Xenopus tropicalis: one gene and its partners. The protein of the gene in region 1 purifies or fractionates together with the protein of each later gene. This does not show direct contact. Links are inferred from orthologs where the notes say so. Each region holds a gene or a part of one and is shown in the gene's direction. Other genes may lie near its edges.

Region 1 (3,519 bases):
GAACTGCTTTCAGCTAACCTATTGTTTCTTCTACTCCCATGTAACTGGAGGAGTCCCAAGCCGGACTTGGATTTCTTACTATTGAGTGCTATTCTGATACCTACTGGGAGCTGCTATCTTGCTCCCTTCCCATTGTTCTGCTGATCGGCTGCTGGGAGGGGCGGGGAGGATATCCACTGATTACCTAATAGCAGTTGGAATTAGTATTGGTTTATTCCTTATTTCCTTCTCTCTGGTTGTGACTCTTGAAACAATCTCTCCTCCAGGCCTGCTAATTAGCTGGCTTCTACTACATTGGTTCAGGAGTATTTTATTTTAGCTATTACCTATTTTTAGCAAAAACTTGTGCAATTTTAGCATCAGCAAATGTAAAACTGTAGCATTTCACTGTTCTGATTTCTACATTTTCCTTTGTAGCTCTCTCTCTTAGCGAAATGTTTTAAGCCTGCACTTGCGTACCTAGATGTAGATATGATGGATATTTGCAAAGAGAATGGCGCTTACGATGCCAAGCCCTTCCTGTGTTACTACTATTACGGCGGGATGATTTACACAGGCTTGAAGAACTTCGAGAGAGCACTGTATTTTTATGAGCAGGTACAGTTGTTTTTTAGTTTCTGAGGCCTAGCCGGCTCTCTAATGCAGATTGAATGGCGTCTTAAGGTGGCCATACACGCTAAGATCCTTGGTGAGGTCGCCAAGTGAGCGGATCTTCTCCCAATATCCTCACCTACGGGTGGGCGATATCGGGTTAATTCTGTCGTTTGGCCCTGGAGCCAAACGATCGAATTAGAGCGATGGGTATAGGCGTCTGTCGGTTTGGGAACCTCATCAACGAGCTGATGTGGTCCCTAATCCGACGGATTTTTAAACCTGCCAGATTGATATCTTGCCAATTTCAGGCCAGATGTCAGGCAGGCCTGTCGTTAGTGCCCCTACACGGGCCGATAAGCTACCATTTTGATTGCCATCTCAACATGGCATGTGTCCTACAAAGAGTAAACAACATGGCTTTTTCTTCTGCTGTGTGGCATGAAAGGGTTATGGTGGCTTGTGACAAATGGGCTGTTTTATAAACACTGGGCAAATTTGCACCTAGGCAGTAACCCATGGCAAGTAATCAGATGTTTGCTTCAGTTGTTCTGTCTGCAGCTGCTGAATAAATGTAATCACTGATTCGTTGCTATGGGTTACTGCCCAGGTGCAAATTTGCTCAGTGTTTATAAATGACCCCCACTGAATATATAATTGTAGCATCAGTTATGCATGCCAATGGCTGCTCTACGCAGTGTAGCAAGATTAATATGCCACCATAGCACGGTTTATATGGCAGTAACTTGTGCTTAATCAATATTAAGCATTTTTTTCCTGTATAGTCTTGCATTATTAGTAGGTCAAATGGAATGAAATGAAATGTTGTTAACCCCTGTAATGATTTTGCTTGGTTTGTTTCTGCAGGCTATAACTACTCCAGCCATGGCTGTTAGTCACATAATGCTGGAAGCCTATAAAAAGTATATTCTAGTTTCCTTGATACTCCATGGAAAGGTTCAGCAGCTACCTAAATATACCTCGCAAATTGTCGGTAGATTTATCAAGGTAAGCTGGAACTAGTAGATTTGCTTAGATGTATTTTGTTGTGTGAAAATACAGCAAGTTAATTTCTCATGATTGTAAGTACTTGTAAGCAGGGACTTTTGTAACCCTTTTAAATAGTTTTTAATCCATAGAGGTGGGGAGAACAATTACTTTAACTTTTCTTTACCCCTTCACTTTCCCCCTCCTTCCTCACCATCTAAATCTGTAGCCATTGCATGGGCATCAGGCCCCCCCAATCTGGCACATACACAAGGTTTTGGGGTGATACAAAACTTGCCTTAATAACAGTGCCCACAAAATGGTGCCTGCCTGCTTTCTGTGATTGTGTAATTCCAAGACTGAAGGAAACAAGATTTATATAATTTATATAGTGGAAGTGAAGTTGCTTTTGCTTGACAAATACAACAGGTCCCCTTTAATCCTTAATGTTATGTAATTTTACAGACCTGTAGAAATGAATGTTTATTCATCTTCCGTTGCAGCCTCTTAGCAATGCTTACCATGAGTTAGCACAAGTCTATTCAACCAATAACCCAGCAGAGCTGCGGAATCTTGTAAGCAAACACAACGAAACCTTTACCAGGGACAACAACATGGGGCTGGTCAAGCAATGCCTGTCATCCCTCTACAAGAAGAACATTCAGAGACTTACCAAAGTAAGTGCCTTTCACTCCTCAGCGCACAGGGATAAGAACCCTCACTTGTATTGTTTTTATGCTGTGTAGTTTGTTCATAAAATGTTTAACGGCTACCCCTCTCATTGCAGACATTTTTAACGCTGTCGTTACAAGACATGGCTAGTCGAGTTCAGTTGTCCGGTGCTCAGGAGGCAGAAAAATATGTGCTGTACATGGTAAGAAGGGAAATGGTTGCTTCTCCCAACTTCCTTTATTATTGCTGTTAAATATAGTGTGGGCCAAAAGGAAATTGGCATCACTTGGAAGTGTAATGGACAGACTGTGCTGAGCCTCTGTCTAGTTTTCCTTTTTCAATTGATGTTAGACTTTTATTGCATTTATATAGTGAATAAAGTACCCCCTATTGTAAAATACAGGGATATTATAAGTCACCAAGGAGTTCCATGACCTTTATACAGGTGATAGAACTCCAAGGTGACTTCTAATATCCTAATATTTTACAACAGGGGGGTACTTTATTTATTATAATATACAAGTTTTAGTTAGTCATGTGACAGAAATCACTAAGCTCTGGTTATAACTGATTACATCACTAAGCACCATTTGTTAGGATATAATTTACAGTTTGGTCTTAATAGGGAAATGAACAAACTGTATACGATAATGATATTACAGTTATCCAAGTGTGAGGCCTGACAGTCAAGGGGCTATGGTATGTTATCATTGGGGATAGATCCATAAAAGCCTCCATAGGTTTTTCTATCACCTGTAAAGAGAGCTGCCATATTGTACCATAGGTCACTGTCACTGGGTTTGCTGCTGCTCAGATTTAGGCTGTTGTGCAGTCATCTCCTCCTTCTTTCTCCCCCAGATAGAAGATGGTGAAATATTTGCAAGTATTAATCAAAAAGACGGCATGGTGTGTTTTCACGATAACCCAGAGAAATACAACAATCCTGCGATGCTTCACAATATTGATCAAGAGGTGAGACGCATCTTTGTTTCATATAAATTGGGTCATAGTGACAAACTTATTTATTAATGTTTACCCAGTTTTAAAAATAGTCACTACTTGATAGAACTTTACGGTTCCTTTACATTTAACAATTAAAAGATTTTATTTTGCATATTTCATATTACAAACAATTAAACAAGAGAAAAACAAAGTAAAGAAGAAAGGAAGAAAGAGAAAGAAACGGGGGAGGGGAGGGTGAGGCTAAGGTAGCAGTTCTGGTTGTACCGGGTTACTAGTTATCCATATTCACCAACTTTATAGGTCCAG
Region 2 (3,519 bases), on another chromosome or scaffold:
TTCAGATTATCATCAACTGTGTTTGTGCTCCTGAAACGCGAGTCTCCAGCATTGGCAAGTATGTCTCTGGGACACCTCGAAGAAGGGGACTTGTTTGTCCGACCTTCCATCATCACGGACGTGGAGAGCCTACACTTTCCAAGATGTGGAATGTTGTCCAATCTAATAATGGTATCAAAGTTCTTTTGTCTTTGCTGTCTGTTAAAATGCCCATCACGGATGCCGATCAGATCAGGGCTTTGGCTTGCAAGGCACTAGTTGGCCTAAGCAGGAGCACTTCAGTTCGACAAATTATTTCAAAGCTGCCCCTGTTCAGCAGCAGCCAGATCCAGCAGCTGATGAAAGAGCCAATCCTCCAGGACAAGCGTAGTGAGCATGTGCGGTTCTGCAAGTATGCAGCCGAGTTGATTGAGCGAGTGTCTGGGAAGCCACTGCTAATGGGAAGTGATGTGTCTCTTGCACGCCTGCAAAAGGCAGATGTAGTAGCACAATCTCGTATTACATTCCCTGAAAAAGAACTCTTGCTACTAATACGGAATCACCTGGTATCCAAGGGATTGCAGGAAACTGTGGCCACATTGACGCGAGAGGCTGATCTACCTATGACTGCTGCTTTGCATTCTTCTACCTACCTGCCTGCCACTGCTACCCAACCACCCACTACTTCTTCACCTGTTTCTCTGCCACGCACACCACGGATCCCTGCTAGACTTTCAAGTACAGCACTGTGCCCTCACCCTCCTTCTTCAAGACCTCAGTTACCACCACCTTTATCATCTCCTGCCCCAGTATCCACAGGCTCACCACTCATTGGGCGTATCAGCTTTGCTCGAGAACGGCAGTCACCTTGTAATGGAAAGAGGGGGCGTGTTCTGCGGCAGAAATCAGATCATGGAGCCTATAGCCAAAGCCCTGCCTTCAGAAAGCAAATGGAAAGACATGTGCCGTCTCCTCCCACTCTGGACAGCATTATGACTGAGTATCTGCGAGAACAGCATGCACGCTGCAAGAATCCAGTTGCTATATGCCCCCCTTTCTCCCTCTTTACTCCACATCAGTGCCCAGAGCCTAAACAACGCAGGCAAGCCCCTACAAACTGCACTTCCAGATTAACCCGACGTGCTGCCTTTCCCAAATATGGAGGTGTAGATGGGGGCTGTTTTGACCGACATCTAATATTCAGCAGGTAATGTAGGGGACCACATAATTATGTTTGGAATTTCTTGTTTTGAGAAGACTCAAGGGAAACCTGGAACAAATGCTTTTAGAGTCTAATGTTATCTTCCTTGTTGGCAGGTTCCGTCCAATATCTGTGTTTCGTGAAACCAATGAAGATGAGAGTGGTTTCACCTGTTGTGCATTCTCTGCACGTGAGCGCTTTCTGATGTTGGGAACGTGCACAGGGCAGTTGAAACTATACAACGTGTTTAGTGGGCAGGAAGAAGCTAGTTACAATTGCCATATCTCTGCAATAACACACTTGGAGCCATCTCGGGTAAGCATCATTCAGTTAATAACCTCCCTGCCTTTGCCTGGCCTGCATCTCACTTTTTCAGTCTCTCCTTTTATAGGGGAACTAAAACCTAAAAATGAATATGGATAAAAATGCCATATTTTATATACTGAATATATTGCACAGCCTAAAGTTTCAGCATCTCTATAGAAGCATGACCAGACTTTAAAACTTGTCACAGGAGCTCCCTAACTCGGAAGTGTCTTTGACACTCACATGCTCCGTATGCTCTTAGCAGCTGTTGAGAAGCTAAGCTTAGGATTTGTCGCAAATTATCAGGCAGAAAATGAGGTTCAGCTGTCATATAAGCTGATGATACAGGGCTGATTATTAAATTGTGATGCTAATTGCACTGGTTTCAGAGCTGCCATGTAGTAATTATATGTATTCTTTTCTAAATCAGCCTTATATTATGACATTTATTTTCTATATATACAGTATATTGTGCATCAGCCCCTAAGCTCAGTAACTAACAGCAGCACAGAGCATGTATAGTGAATCAGCAAAGAAGATGGGGAGCTACTGGGGGCATCTTTGGGGGCACAGATCTTCCCTGCTAAAGGGCTGTGGGTGCCACGCGCTGGTGCAGAAGCCAGAAACATAATGTACAATATTTCTGCCCTACTTCTTTAATTAGGCTTTAGTTCTCCTTTAAACTCCCAGTCAACCTTTCCTGTCCTTCTCTCACAGGATGGGTCTCTTCTTCTAACTGCAGCCACATGGAGCCAACCTCTCTCAGCACTTTGGAGCATGAAATCTGTATTTGAAATGAAGTGAGTTTGCTAGGTTAACAAATAGTCCTTAGAAAAAGTGCTCCTGTTTAAAAACACAACCATCTTTAGGGGCAGTTTTTAATCTCAACTACATTTTCATTTCTAGGCATTCATTTACTGAGGATCATTATGTTGAATTCAGCAAACTTTCACAGGATCGTGTCATTGGCACAAAAGAAGATGTGGCTCATGTGAGTATTTACCTTTTTGGCTGTGGAATTAGCTCTCAACCAATCTTTGTTGTACTGGTATTGGACCTCCTATCCAGAATATTTAGGACCTGGGTTTTTTTTAAATAAGTTTCTGTAATGTAGATCTCCTTACCTTGTCTACTGAAAAATAAATTTAGCTTTAAATAAACACAAAAGAATTATTTTGCCTCCAATAGGGATTCATTATATCTTAGTTGTGAACTTGTGATCAAGTACAAATACTGTTTTATTACTACAGTGAAAAAGGAAATTATTTTTAAAAATGTAAATTGTTTAATTAAACTGCAGTCTATGGGAGATGGCCTACTTGTAATTCAGAATACAGAATAACGTGTATATACCATATATAATACAACATATATTCTATGGCAGATTTTGAACCTTTCAAACGTAAAAATCTAGGAGAAGCCAAACATTCAGAAGAAGACTGTATATTATTGCATTGTTAGGAGCCGACCGGCTCACAGCAAATGTTATAGTAGAGTTCAATGTAGAAGAGAAGAAAAGCTCATTTGACTGCTTGGGTTATTATCATATTACATGGTGGGCTCATGTAGATGGCCAGCTTATATCAACCCCTAAGTTTGAATTACAACGTTATCTAATGCCCTGGACTATTTCACTATTGTAGAACCATAAAATAAGCAACTAAGGCCTCCAAGGCTGTTGTGAGCTAAAAACCTCCCAGGAGCTTTAGTTGCCAGTCTGCTCTGATTTATGGATAGTATATGAAATTATTTAGTACATTAAAGGGGTTTTTCACCTTTGTACAACATTCACAAATCTAATAGTTAACAGAACTATCTTTGTCATATACATAGTTAACAGAAATGTGCAGCTGAAGAGAGATTCGTCTCAGAATCACACATAGTACTGGCAGCATGCTTAACTCCTATTGGCTGTGTCTCCTGTCAGTCTGGCACTACTTCCTGTGCAGAGTGATACAAATCTAATTTAACAGTATTTTAGATTTGTGAAATGTTGTCTGTTTGAATATGCAATTTCAAGGGAGAAATTAACT
Region 3 (4,090 bases), on another chromosome or scaffold:
CTTAGTGTGCTTGCACTCATGCCCCCCAAGGTTGTAAATTACCCCTTATATTGTCAAGGCTAATACCTAGTAAACAGGTTTCTAGGCTTTTCTTAGTTGGTCACCACATCCATATGATCTAGCACTTGGGTCCAGATCCAAGCAGCAAAGAGGCTCTGTGTACATTGCAATACACCGTGTCTGTAGTTTAGGGATACAAGTTAGTTATGTCTAATGCATTTCACTAATCTTTCACCAATCTTTATTGCTTAGTTACAAAGGTCCTGTTGTCTTATATCCCTTACACTCTCTGCTATTTGTGGATTAACAAAGTAGGATTGAATATACAACGGGTCTGAATAGAGCCAAATTATCTGTAGTTTGTACAAAATTAAGAGATTCTGAGAACGAGCACATAATTTTAGTCTAAATATGCATTTTATGTTCTGGGTGTGTCTTGGTCAATTCTTAAATGCACTCCCTTCTCTGCAAGTTTCTGCGCTGATCAGGGGCAAATGACATGGTGTTGGTGACAGGACTGTGCGGGCAAAATAGGGCAGCTTGTCTATGTTCTCCTAGGATGCTATTTCTTGTATTTGTTCTTACTAGCATTGGTTTTACCTAAGTGCCTTTGAGTTGTTCACACCCAAGTAATGGTCTCTTGTTGTATAATCATTTACCTTGTATGTCATTTGCTATTATTAAAGGAGACATATTGGATAAATGGGAAAAACCCTAATTTTGTAGGCAATTATGAATAATATACGGTGCTGGTTTCACTTTGTGCTAAATATTAATCCTCTCTGTAAAAAATGGACCCTTTATTGGAGCTCCCTATAGATGGTATCACTTATCCGTCCAGTGTGAAATGAAGAGTGGGCGTGTCCTAAAGGTCCCTGCCAGAAGCACAGTAGGAGGGGGAGAGCCAATCACAGCCCTGCCCTCACACAAGCACAGACAGGCTTCAGTTCCCTATCAGGTCGGCCTGGGTGCTGATTGGTTCCTATCCTACAGTGGAGTGTACTGAGAGCCGCCAGCTCCCCTGCACATCCAGAGAATTCAGCCAGCAGGAAGTGGCACAGATGGGCGGGGCTAGTGGGGGTTTTGTGGAATTTCTCAATAAATCAGTCAGAAACACAACTTTTTAAGCACAATCCTTCTATATCTAGAGGAGTATAATTCCCTGGTACATTCTTAATTTTTATAGGATATGTCTCCTTTAACAGTTTTAGAAAACTGCAACAAAAATAGCATTGGGAGATCAATGACATGTCTTTAAAGGAGGGATACAATCCATGCATGCGTATAATCATCCCAAAACATTCCAGTTCAGTAATCCGTCAAATCGTGTCTCTGATCTCCAGTTTGAACTTCGCTGCTTTAGAAAACTGCACCATCGAGAATCTCCAGAGTCAATGCAACAGCACGTGACATAGGACTGCCCGAACGCTCAGATACAGAGGACCAATCAGCTAGTAGATATTGCATCATGTGGCACAGACGGGGGGTTTGGGCTAACATTAAGTAATATGTGAGGTTGTGCTTCTACTCTTTCGTCCAATAAGCGCTCGCTCGCATGAATGTACGATGCCCCGCCTCTAGTTAGCAACGCTGCCTCCCTTCAATGCCCTCTTCTTTTCCATCTCATCGGGTTGCCATAGAGACAGCGGCCTTGCCGCCTCATGCGCCGTTGCTGCCCGGTTCTGTTTGTAAACAGCCCCGGGGACCCGCCTCCCTCACCTTCCTCCTCCTGCCCCCGCCCACCGGAGCCTCCCCCATCCAAGATGGCGGCGGGTGGGAGCGGCGGCCTGTCGTTTCCCGGGGTGGTGGGGAACAGCGCCCCCAGCAACCGCGGTGGCTCCTCGGCCTCCTCGTACAACTATAGCGGCGGGGCTGGGGCCTCGTCCCCCGGGAATCAGGCAGCTGCTGCAGTTTCGGCATCTGGAGTTTCGCCTCCTGCTGCACCACCGCCGCCTCCTCCTGCTGCTGCTGCTGCTGCTGGCCTGCTCCGGGAGCCCGTGTACAACTGGCAGGCCACCAAAACCACGGTGCGGGAAAGGTTCACCTTCCTCTTCAACAACGAAGTGCTAAGCGACGTCCACTTCCTTGTGGGGAAAGGACTGGGAAGCCAGCGGATCCCGGCGCACAGGTATGTGGTACAGGTGGCATAGTGACAGGCTAGTGGGATGCCCAGCGCAGTACGGACCCAGTCAGCCATTCCTCTGCGGCTGATACTGGCATTGGCTAATATATATATATATATATATATCTTAAGTGCTTGTGCCACTCGCCATTGGCAGTTTGCTTTACACATCCTCATTGCGTGCTGTCAGAGTTACCCAAGAGACCTAAGCAGGGCTGATGCCATTCATGCTGGGCCTCATATAGATAGGGTCTGCTGTATAGGGCAGTGTCATGAGATGAATCTAAATCGTATTTATTTACATAACATTCTGTGCATAAGGATCAGTGTGCCAACGGGGAACTTTGAGGGAGAGGTATGCTTCTCTGTTGACATAAGACATGATGTCAACAAGGACACAAGGCTGATGGATTCCTGAAAGCCCATTGCAAAGCTGTGAGTGGTAAGCCTTTGTGCAACTACAGTGGGTACTCTGCACTACACTGGCACAAAACATTATAACTTGGCTATGTTGGCCTAACATTCACTAATAGTAACTTGCACATCAAGGTGAGACATGTGCATGCCCAGGCGTGTGTGTGTGTACTCCACATTCTGCCTTTATTGCCTAGTGCCAACTGAGGGCAACTTATTGATGAGCCTAGTAAAAAGATGAATTACCAAGAATTAGAAGTCATTGAAATATAATGTAAAACATTTAGCAACATTAGTGTTTGTCAGTCCTTTCTATTCTCTGCCCTGGTGCCTCTGACGTTTGAAACAATGTAACCCAAGCCAGCAGACTGACAGACCTGACTTCCTGGAAGACATTATTTAAAAAGTCATAACGAGAAGTTAAGTAAATGCTGCTTTCAATAGCAATTATATTTACAAATAACTGTTAATGTACGAAACATTTTTATTAATTTCATTTTGGAAAGTTTCTTAGAATCATATTTTCTTTTATTAGAAAAACATTTTGGGGCTTGGTGTCCTTTAAAATAAGTAAAGTTCGCAAACTGCAAGACTTATTTGAAAGCCTTATTTGTGGACATTGCTAAAATCTGTTCCAGTAAACGGAAAAATTAGAGATAAATTGATTAATGGGGATGTCTGAGTACTTTTGAAATGTAATGTTTTTTTTTTTTTTAAGATTTAAAAATATTAATATCAGGCTTTCAGCTCAGCAGCCCTTTCTTAGAACTGCTGTGTTGGGTTAACTTAATGTGCAAACAGCATCTCCAATGAAAAGCAGCTCTGCATCACACTCTCTCTCTTTTTGGGATTTTAAAGCTGCATTGACAGCCAGAGGGGAATATCTGCTTCCCTAGAATTTTCCCCTATTACATATTTATCAGATCAGGGATCTGACAGGGACCTGATGAGGTCACATGCATACCTCAGAAAAAGTACCTTTTTAAATTTAGTGCTTGAGTGCATTTTGTTATTTCCCTTTCCAGTCCTAACCAAGCTTAAACTGCAGATACGTTTAGTAGAGCAGCCTAAGCAAGTTAACTCTTATTTTATTTATTTTTGCTTTTAGTTTCCTTTCAAGTGTAGTTCACTAGTCTCATATATTTGGTTGTCCAAAAAATCACACAGGGTGAATGTGATTTTTTTTCATGTCCCCCAAACTGCTCAACACCTCTATTGACCTCTTTGTAGGTCATTATTTTATTATGATCTGGCCCTCAACCATGTAGTATAGTGATTAGCTGGTCCACAATATGGAAACAGCTGGAAGACAGTGGTATAATACAATTAAAGGCAATGATGGAAGGAATACTTCAAGGGTGAAGTCATAAAACAGGTGTACATTTTATCCATAGCAATAAATTCATACTTTTGCGTTTTTTTGTTCCAAACTTCTCTGGTAGTCAGTTGTGATTGCTTGCTGTGCAGGCCCAGACTGGAAATCTGTAGATTCTGGTAAATACCAGAGGGGCTCCTGGTAAAGTTCTTAGCATGCAATGTGTTAACAGGCGAGTA
Region 4 (2,755 bases), on another chromosome or scaffold:
ATATTAAATTGCACCCCTCATATTTAGGGCAGTGGCAAATTGAAGCTGCTCCATGTTTGGTCCTTGCAAGGCAGATCATTAGATTAGTGCATTGATAATTCCCTGGCTAACAAAGCTATCATAACAAAGGGTGAAGGGAATAGGGTTTGCATACTGCTAATTAAATATTTTCTTTGCAAGGACTAAAAATGGAGGAGCTTCAGGTTGGTTTAATTATTAATGCATTCACCTATTTCTTTTCAGTACCTGCAAACCCCTTTTCTCCGGTCCCTGGCTTCATACATATTATATCGGACCAACAGCCCCTTTGATCGCAGAGTTACCACTCTTGAGTGGCACCCTACGCACCCGAATACAGTGGCGGTGGGATCAAAAGGAGGAGACATCATTCTGTGGGACTATGAAGAGCTCAATAACACCCTCATTCCTGGGGTGAGTCCAGTTCTTCTCGCCCCGCTGGATCCCTCTCGCACATGGCTACAACTTTGCTGTGTTTTTATCCTTGCAGATTGGAGCCGGGGGGTGCATCACCGGAATGAAGTTCGACCCGTTTAACCCTAATCAGTTGTACACCTCATCAGTGGCGGGTAGCACCGTGCTACAGGACTTCTCTGGGCGCAATATTCAGACATTCACCAACACTGAGGACTGGGCGTAAGCGAGATGGCTCTGTGGGGTAGGCGGGAGTACTGACCCTCAGTGGGGGCGGAATTATTGCTTAATTGGCTGTAGTGTCCTGGTACCCAAGGGCTTTCCCTCTGAAGCTACCACCCAAGGGGCTTGGGTTCCTATATAGAAAATACGATCCTTGCTAGAAATAGTGGTGAGCATAATGTGCCATTGCCCTTTTTAAATGTGATTACTAGCTGCTGCAGATAGGGTGAGCTGAACCCCCCCCTCATGCACAGTATGGCACATATAATTATCTAGTATACAGGCTCCTGACTGGTTGATCCTGTATGCATAGATAATTAAGTCGCCAGTCCAAAGAAAGGAAGCAGGATACACTGTAAAACTGTTTACTTCCCATTTAACATGGAATATCATCATTTTCACAAAAATAAATATTCTTTTTATATCTGTTAATGGCCCATTCCAAACCTGGCACATGGATATAACTAGGGGTGCTTACATGCAGTTTTGGGGCTTTTGGCCTTTGGTTTAACTGCCACTGGTTCTTCCATAGGATGTGGTACTGCAGCCTCGATGTTTCCGCTGAAAGGCAGTGTGTGGTCACGGGGGATAATGTAGGCAACGTGGTCCTCCTGGAGACCTGTGGGAAGGAGGTGGGTATTGTCCAGCCCTGGACTTCCTGTTTTTAGATTGTAAGCTCTTTGGGGCAGAGACCTTATTCCAACCCTATACTGATCATGGTGAATGAAAGTGGTCCCTTGGCACGGGAGACTGACCCTTGGCACCTTTATTCTCAGATCTGGAAGTTACGGCTTCACAAAAAGAAAGTGACGCATGTAGAGTTTAACCCTCGCTGTGATTGGCTGCTGGCGTCCGCTTCTGTGGATCAGACCGTGAAGCTGTGGGACCTGCGCAATATCAAAGACAAGTCCAGCTACCTGTACACATTGCCTCATGCACGTGGCGTCAACTCTGGTAAGCGCTGTTCCCTACACCCGGTATCCTGACAGGTAATCGTGGCCATTTGTGACTCATGGTGGTCTCTCTATTGCAGCTTATTTTAGCCCCTGGGATGGGGCAAAGCTACTCACTACCGATCAGCACAGTGAGATCCGTGTCTATTCTGCGTGTGATTGGGCCAAACCGCAGCACATAATACCTCATCCACACCGGCAATTCCAACATTTGACTGCAATTAAGGTATATAAAGCTATATAAATATAGCATTCATCTATAAAATATCCTAAAGTACAGCACTTAAATATGTCAGTTGTACTGTGAAATGTAAGGATCCTGGCCCGCAGGGAGATTAGTCGGCCGCAGGTGGGAAAAACAGGTGGGAAAAACAGGGCACTTTGTTTCTCTTAAGTCACCCAGAGTTGCCTGGCAAGGAAACTATGGGGAATGGCAAAGCATAGCGAAGATTTATCGCAGTTGACTAATATCCCCAAGTGCCAGTACCCCAAGGATATTCGTCTTGCTCCATATAGCTTGTAGCCTAATCACTTTACATGCTTCCTCCTCAGTTATTTCTAATATCCTTATAATTTACAGTAGGGGGTACATGTTCACTGTATAACTCAGCCTGCAGCCTTGTGCCTTTATATGGTCACAGAGCCCCTCAGTGACTGCTAATATCCTTATCATTTACAGTAGGGGGTACATTATCCCTTATAATACATGAGTGATACTCAGAGTTCCCTGTATAACTCAGCCTGCAGCCTTGTGCCTTTATATGGGCACAGAACCCCTCAGTGACTTCTAATATCCTTATCATTTACAGTAGGGGGTACATTATCCCTTATAATACATGAGTGGTACTCAGAGTTCCCTGTATAACTCAGCCTGCAGCCTTGTGCCTTTATATGGGGGGCACAGAACCCCTCAGTGACTGCTAATATCCTTATCATTTACAGTAGGGGGTACATGTTCACTGTATAACTCAGCCTGCAGCCTTGTGCATTTATATGGGCACAGAACCCCTCAGTGACTGCTAATATCCTTATCATTTACAGTAGGGGGTACATTATCCCTTATAATACATGAGTGATACTCAGAGTTCCCTGTATAACTCAGCCTGCAGCCTTGTGCCTTTATATGGGCACAGAACCCCCTCAATGAC
Region 5 (3,519 bases), on another chromosome or scaffold:
ATGTTTACTTCTTTTTAACAACAGGCCATTTTGCGGCTGAAATCAGGGTCACCTAAAGACAGAAGGCTAATTTGGCTCCTTTGTGGTGTACAAGCAAAGGCGTAAACTTCGCACTGTGCATCACTGTGCAAGTACTATGTGAATGGTCACCTAAGGGGAGCAATTTTGCATTATTTAGCACATCCATAAGTTGTGTAAGTTATCCATACTGTTTTGGTGTATTTTTATTCTGTGATAGAATTGCCCGGTACGTGAAAATAAAGCAGTTGGACTGTCAAAAAAGTCTGGGAAAGGACAGGACCTTTAAACCTATAGATTTTCAATGCTAGTAAATTTTCCCCCCATTGTCATTGTTTCTTATGTATGCAGAGAGAGCGGGCAGGATGTGGATTTACTATGGGAGAGCGTTGTCGTGTAACATCTCAGTGAGTATCAAGGGGCTTGTGTGTTTGATGGGTGATTATTTGTCATGATAACTGTCTTTCTGTCTTCTTTTAGTTTCCTCCCGAATCATGTATGTGCCACAGACTCATACTCCCAGAAGGCTTTCTGTGGGGTGTATTCCCCCAATGGATCTGTCTTTATGTCAGCATGTCAGGGTAGGTTGCAACTTTGTCCTCTACAGGTGCTGCAGCATATTCTTACCATTTGTATATCTTATCATATTTACTAATATCCCAATACTCTTGAATACATCTTCTTTCATTTACTTTATATTTACAACCCCAATTTGTTTCTCCTAATCATTTGTTTTATATTGGGGTGTTTTTTTGTTTTTTTTATTTGGCTTTCCAACCCCCTGTCATCTCTGCTTTTTAGACTACTGGTATGGGATCTCTTATCTGTAAACTTTAAAAGCTCTTAATTACAGGAATGCCATGTCCCATAGTTCTATGGTCCCTTTATTCTTCATTATTTTAAGCTCTTATAAATTAAAATGTATCTATACTGCCTGGTAACCTCTAGATTTCTTCTCCTAGATCAAAACATCCGCTTATATGATTGTAGAAATGGTGCCTTTAAGAAATTTCGCACTGTTAAGGCTCGGGATGTTGGCTGGAGTGTCTTGGATGTGGCATTTACCCCGGATGGAGGACATTTTCTGTACTCCAGCTGGTCAGACTACAGTGAGTATTAGTGATGATTGAAAAGGTTTCACTGCGGAAAAACACCAGTGGCTGCAATGGGTTTCACAGTCGTTTTCAGTGCAGGCACACAGAGCAGTGTAGGGAAGCAGATCCGCTTCTCTCACCCGGATGGAAAAAACACAGTGCTGAGAGAAGCAGAGCATATGTTCTGTGTGCCTTTGCCCTTAGAAGAGCACTATGAGCAATTTTACATTGTTATATGGATATTTATCCACTTTAAATAAGAATGCTAAAACTTGTGTTTGGGTACAACTACCAATCATACAATTAACATGCAGTGTGAAAGTAAGTATTTTGGACAGCGCCCTCTTTACCTCTTTTTGTGTTTTTGTATGTATTCTGGTTGTTTAATGTATGCACCTATTTATTGTACAGCTCTGTGTGAAATGTTGGTGGTTTATTGGTAATAATACAACCCCATTTTTATAAAGTTGGGATGCTGTGTAAAATATAAATAAAAACAGAATGCGATTTGCAAACCATCCCATTGTCTTTTTATTTACAATTTAAACAGTGTTCCAACTTATTTGGAAATTGGGTTGTAAAAATAATAACGGGAATGCATGTATGCTACAATTGATTCTATTTAAGAGAAAATGTCAGCTCAGCGGGGCAATCTTAATATGGTGTAGACAGTCCATCACTTATATTGGTTATACAGGTATAGGACCCGTTATCTAGAATGCTCGGGACCCAAGGGTATGCAGGATAAGGATTCTTTCTGTAATTTGGATCTCCGTACCTTAAGTCTACTAAAAAATCAATAAAACATTAATTAAACCCAACAGGACTGTTTTGTATCCAAAAAGGATTATTCAAATCTTAGTTGGGATCAATTACAAGGAACCGTTTTATTATTAGAGAGAAAAAGAAAATCATTTTTAAAATTCTGAATTATTTGATTAAAATGGGAGATGGGCTTTCCGTAAAATGGGAGATGAGCTTTCTGGATAACGGGTTTCCGGATAAGGGATCCCATGCATTCAATCCAAAGCAAGCTTTGACTTCTGGAAAGCAATACTTTACATGTGTTTTTTAGAACGTTCTCATGTTATGTGTAATAAATATGTTTTGTGCAAAGTTTGTGTACCACCTAGTGTGCTGTAGGATGCACTATAAAACTATGATATTCAGATTCAGAGATTTCAATCCTAGCTGGAATTCATTATTCAATATTGAAAACTAAATATTATTTTCATTTATGCATCAAATATATAATTATATTGTAGAAGTTTAACAGTAACACTAATATTATTCTGATTTTTTTCCTTTGATTTCAGTTCATATCTGTAATATATATGGAGATACTGAATCGCACACTGCCCTGGATCTGAGGTACTTTGTGTGAGAAAAATGTCCACTAGTAGTTTTATATTTTGTTATCTTAACCCACTTCAGTTTCAGTTTTGTGCCATTCTGTGTCTGCTTTTTTTTTCTTTTCATCCTTGCCACTAAATTCTTTTTATAGCCCCTCAGAGCGTCGTTTTGCTGTTTTTTCTCTCACTGTATCTTCTGATGGACGAGAAATTCTGGGAGGGTAAGTATATACGACAATTGCTTGGTTGACTAGTGATATTGCCTTTGGGCTTTATTTATACACAAAATTGTGTGCAGCTTTTCTCACAAGGGTACCAGTGTACCTGCTCAGCCTACTCTAATGAACTGCATAGATGGATGCAAAAGACTTGTAAACCAGCAGCCTTTACCTGCCAGTAATTGTAGAGTTCGCTTGCTACTTGGACACTAAAGCTGGCATCGCCAAGCGAGCGGATCTTCACCCGATAACCCCACCTACGGGTGGGCGATATTGGGAAGGCATGTAGGCGAATTCGATCGTTTGGCCCTGGGCCAGATATCGGTCGGCCAGGCCAAGGGACTGATATCGGAAGCTATAATCGGCCTGTGTTTGGGGACCTCAAGGCTGTTGTTGATGGTGCTACAAGAAGTATACAATGTCATTTAAAAACACAGATTCTAATTAGTTTTTTTTATATTACTGCATCATATGCAAATTGCTGTGGATGCATTGATGCAGGACTTATGGGTGCATTGTGGGTAAAATAATTTTGATTAGCATCTAGATAAAAATGAGCAATCATATACAATATAATGTAATTGGGAGTGTGTAATTGAAATTGTTGGTAGTTACGTCATGAAACCAGCTTATAAATGAATGCATTACTTAATGAATGTGTAATTGAAATAAAAAGTCTTTGCAGTAGATACTCTGTGATGATGTCCAACATCCCCATTACAGCAAACCAACCACCGCTGTACAGACCTCACTTTTTGCATGGGGACATTATTGTGTTGAAACAGGGCCAAAAGGGCCTTCCCAGACTATTGCCACAAAGTAGGAAGCACAGACTTG

Evidence for each region.
Region 2: the proteins of cops3 (region 1) and dcaf1 purify together in Homo sapiens (affinity purification with mass spectrometry; 5 studies listed by BioGRID, with this or other methods). This does not show direct contact. The link is inferred for Xenopus tropicalis from reciprocal best matches to the Homo sapiens genes COPS3 and DCAF1.
Region 3: the proteins of cops3 (region 1) and btbd2 purify together in Homo sapiens (affinity purification with mass spectrometry; 3 studies listed by BioGRID and IntAct, counting the BioPlex papers as one, with this or other methods). This does not show direct contact. The link is inferred for Xenopus tropicalis from reciprocal best matches to the Homo sapiens genes COPS3 and BTBD2.
Region 4: the proteins of cops3 (region 1) and ddb2 purify together in Homo sapiens (affinity purification with mass spectrometry; 7 studies listed by BioGRID and IntAct, with this or other methods). This does not show direct contact. The link is inferred for Xenopus tropicalis from reciprocal best matches to the Homo sapiens genes COPS3 and DDB2.
Region 5: the proteins of cops3 (region 1) and dcaf11 purify together in Homo sapiens (affinity purification with mass spectrometry; 3 studies listed by BioGRID and IntAct, counting the BioPlex papers as one, with this or other methods). This does not show direct contact. The link is inferred for Xenopus tropicalis from reciprocal best matches to the Homo sapiens genes COPS3 and DCAF11.

The regions. Positions count from the first base shown.
Region 1 is NC_030685.2:15,774,619-15,778,137, forward strand, and holds part of cops3 (COP9 signalosome complex subunit 3), read left to right. Parts: intron 1-417; coding exon 418-597; intron 598-1,458; coding exon 1,459-1,599; intron 1,600-2,081; coding exon 2,082-2,255; intron 2,256-2,365; coding exon 2,366-2,452; intron 2,453-3,108; coding exon 3,109-3,222; intron 3,223-3,519. UniProt on the Homo sapiens protein: Component of the COP9 signalosome complex (CSN), a complex involved in various cellular and developmental processes.
Region 2 is NC_030680.2:127,315,022-127,318,540, forward strand, and holds part of dcaf1 (DDB1- and CUL4-associated factor 1), read left to right. Parts: coding exon 1-1,186; intron 1,187-1,296; coding exon 1,297-1,495; intron 1,496-2,203; coding exon 2,204-2,286; intron 2,287-2,392; coding exon 2,393-2,477; intron 2,478-3,519. UniProt on the Homo sapiens protein: Acts both as a substrate recognition component of E3 ubiquitin-protein ligase complexes and as an atypical serine/threonine-protein kinase, playing key roles in various processes such as cell cycle, telomerase regulation and histone modification.
Region 3 is NC_030677.2:102,967,056-102,971,145, forward strand, and holds the start of btbd2 (BTB/POZ domain-containing protein 2), read left to right. Parts: upstream 1-1,284; 5' UTR 1,285-1,661; coding exon 1,662-2,128; intron 2,129-4,090.
Region 4 is NC_030680.2:15,447,853-15,450,607, forward strand, and holds part of ddb2 (DNA damage-binding protein 2), read left to right. Parts: intron 1-243; coding exon 244-432; intron 433-508; coding exon 509-654; intron 655-1,186; coding exon 1,187-1,286; intron 1,287-1,430; coding exon 1,431-1,608; intron 1,609-1,687; coding exon 1,688-1,833; intron 1,834-2,755.
Region 5 is NC_030677.2:139,466,750-139,470,268, reverse strand, and holds part of dcaf11 (DDB1- and CUL4-associated factor 11), read left to right. Parts: intron 1-369; coding exon 370-425; intron 426-498; coding exon 499-599; intron 600-980; coding exon 981-1,127; intron 1,128-2,428; coding exon 2,429-2,483; intron 2,484-2,616; coding exon 2,617-2,685; intron 2,686-3,519. UniProt on the Homo sapiens protein: May function as a substrate receptor for CUL4-DDB1 E3 ubiquitin-protein ligase complex.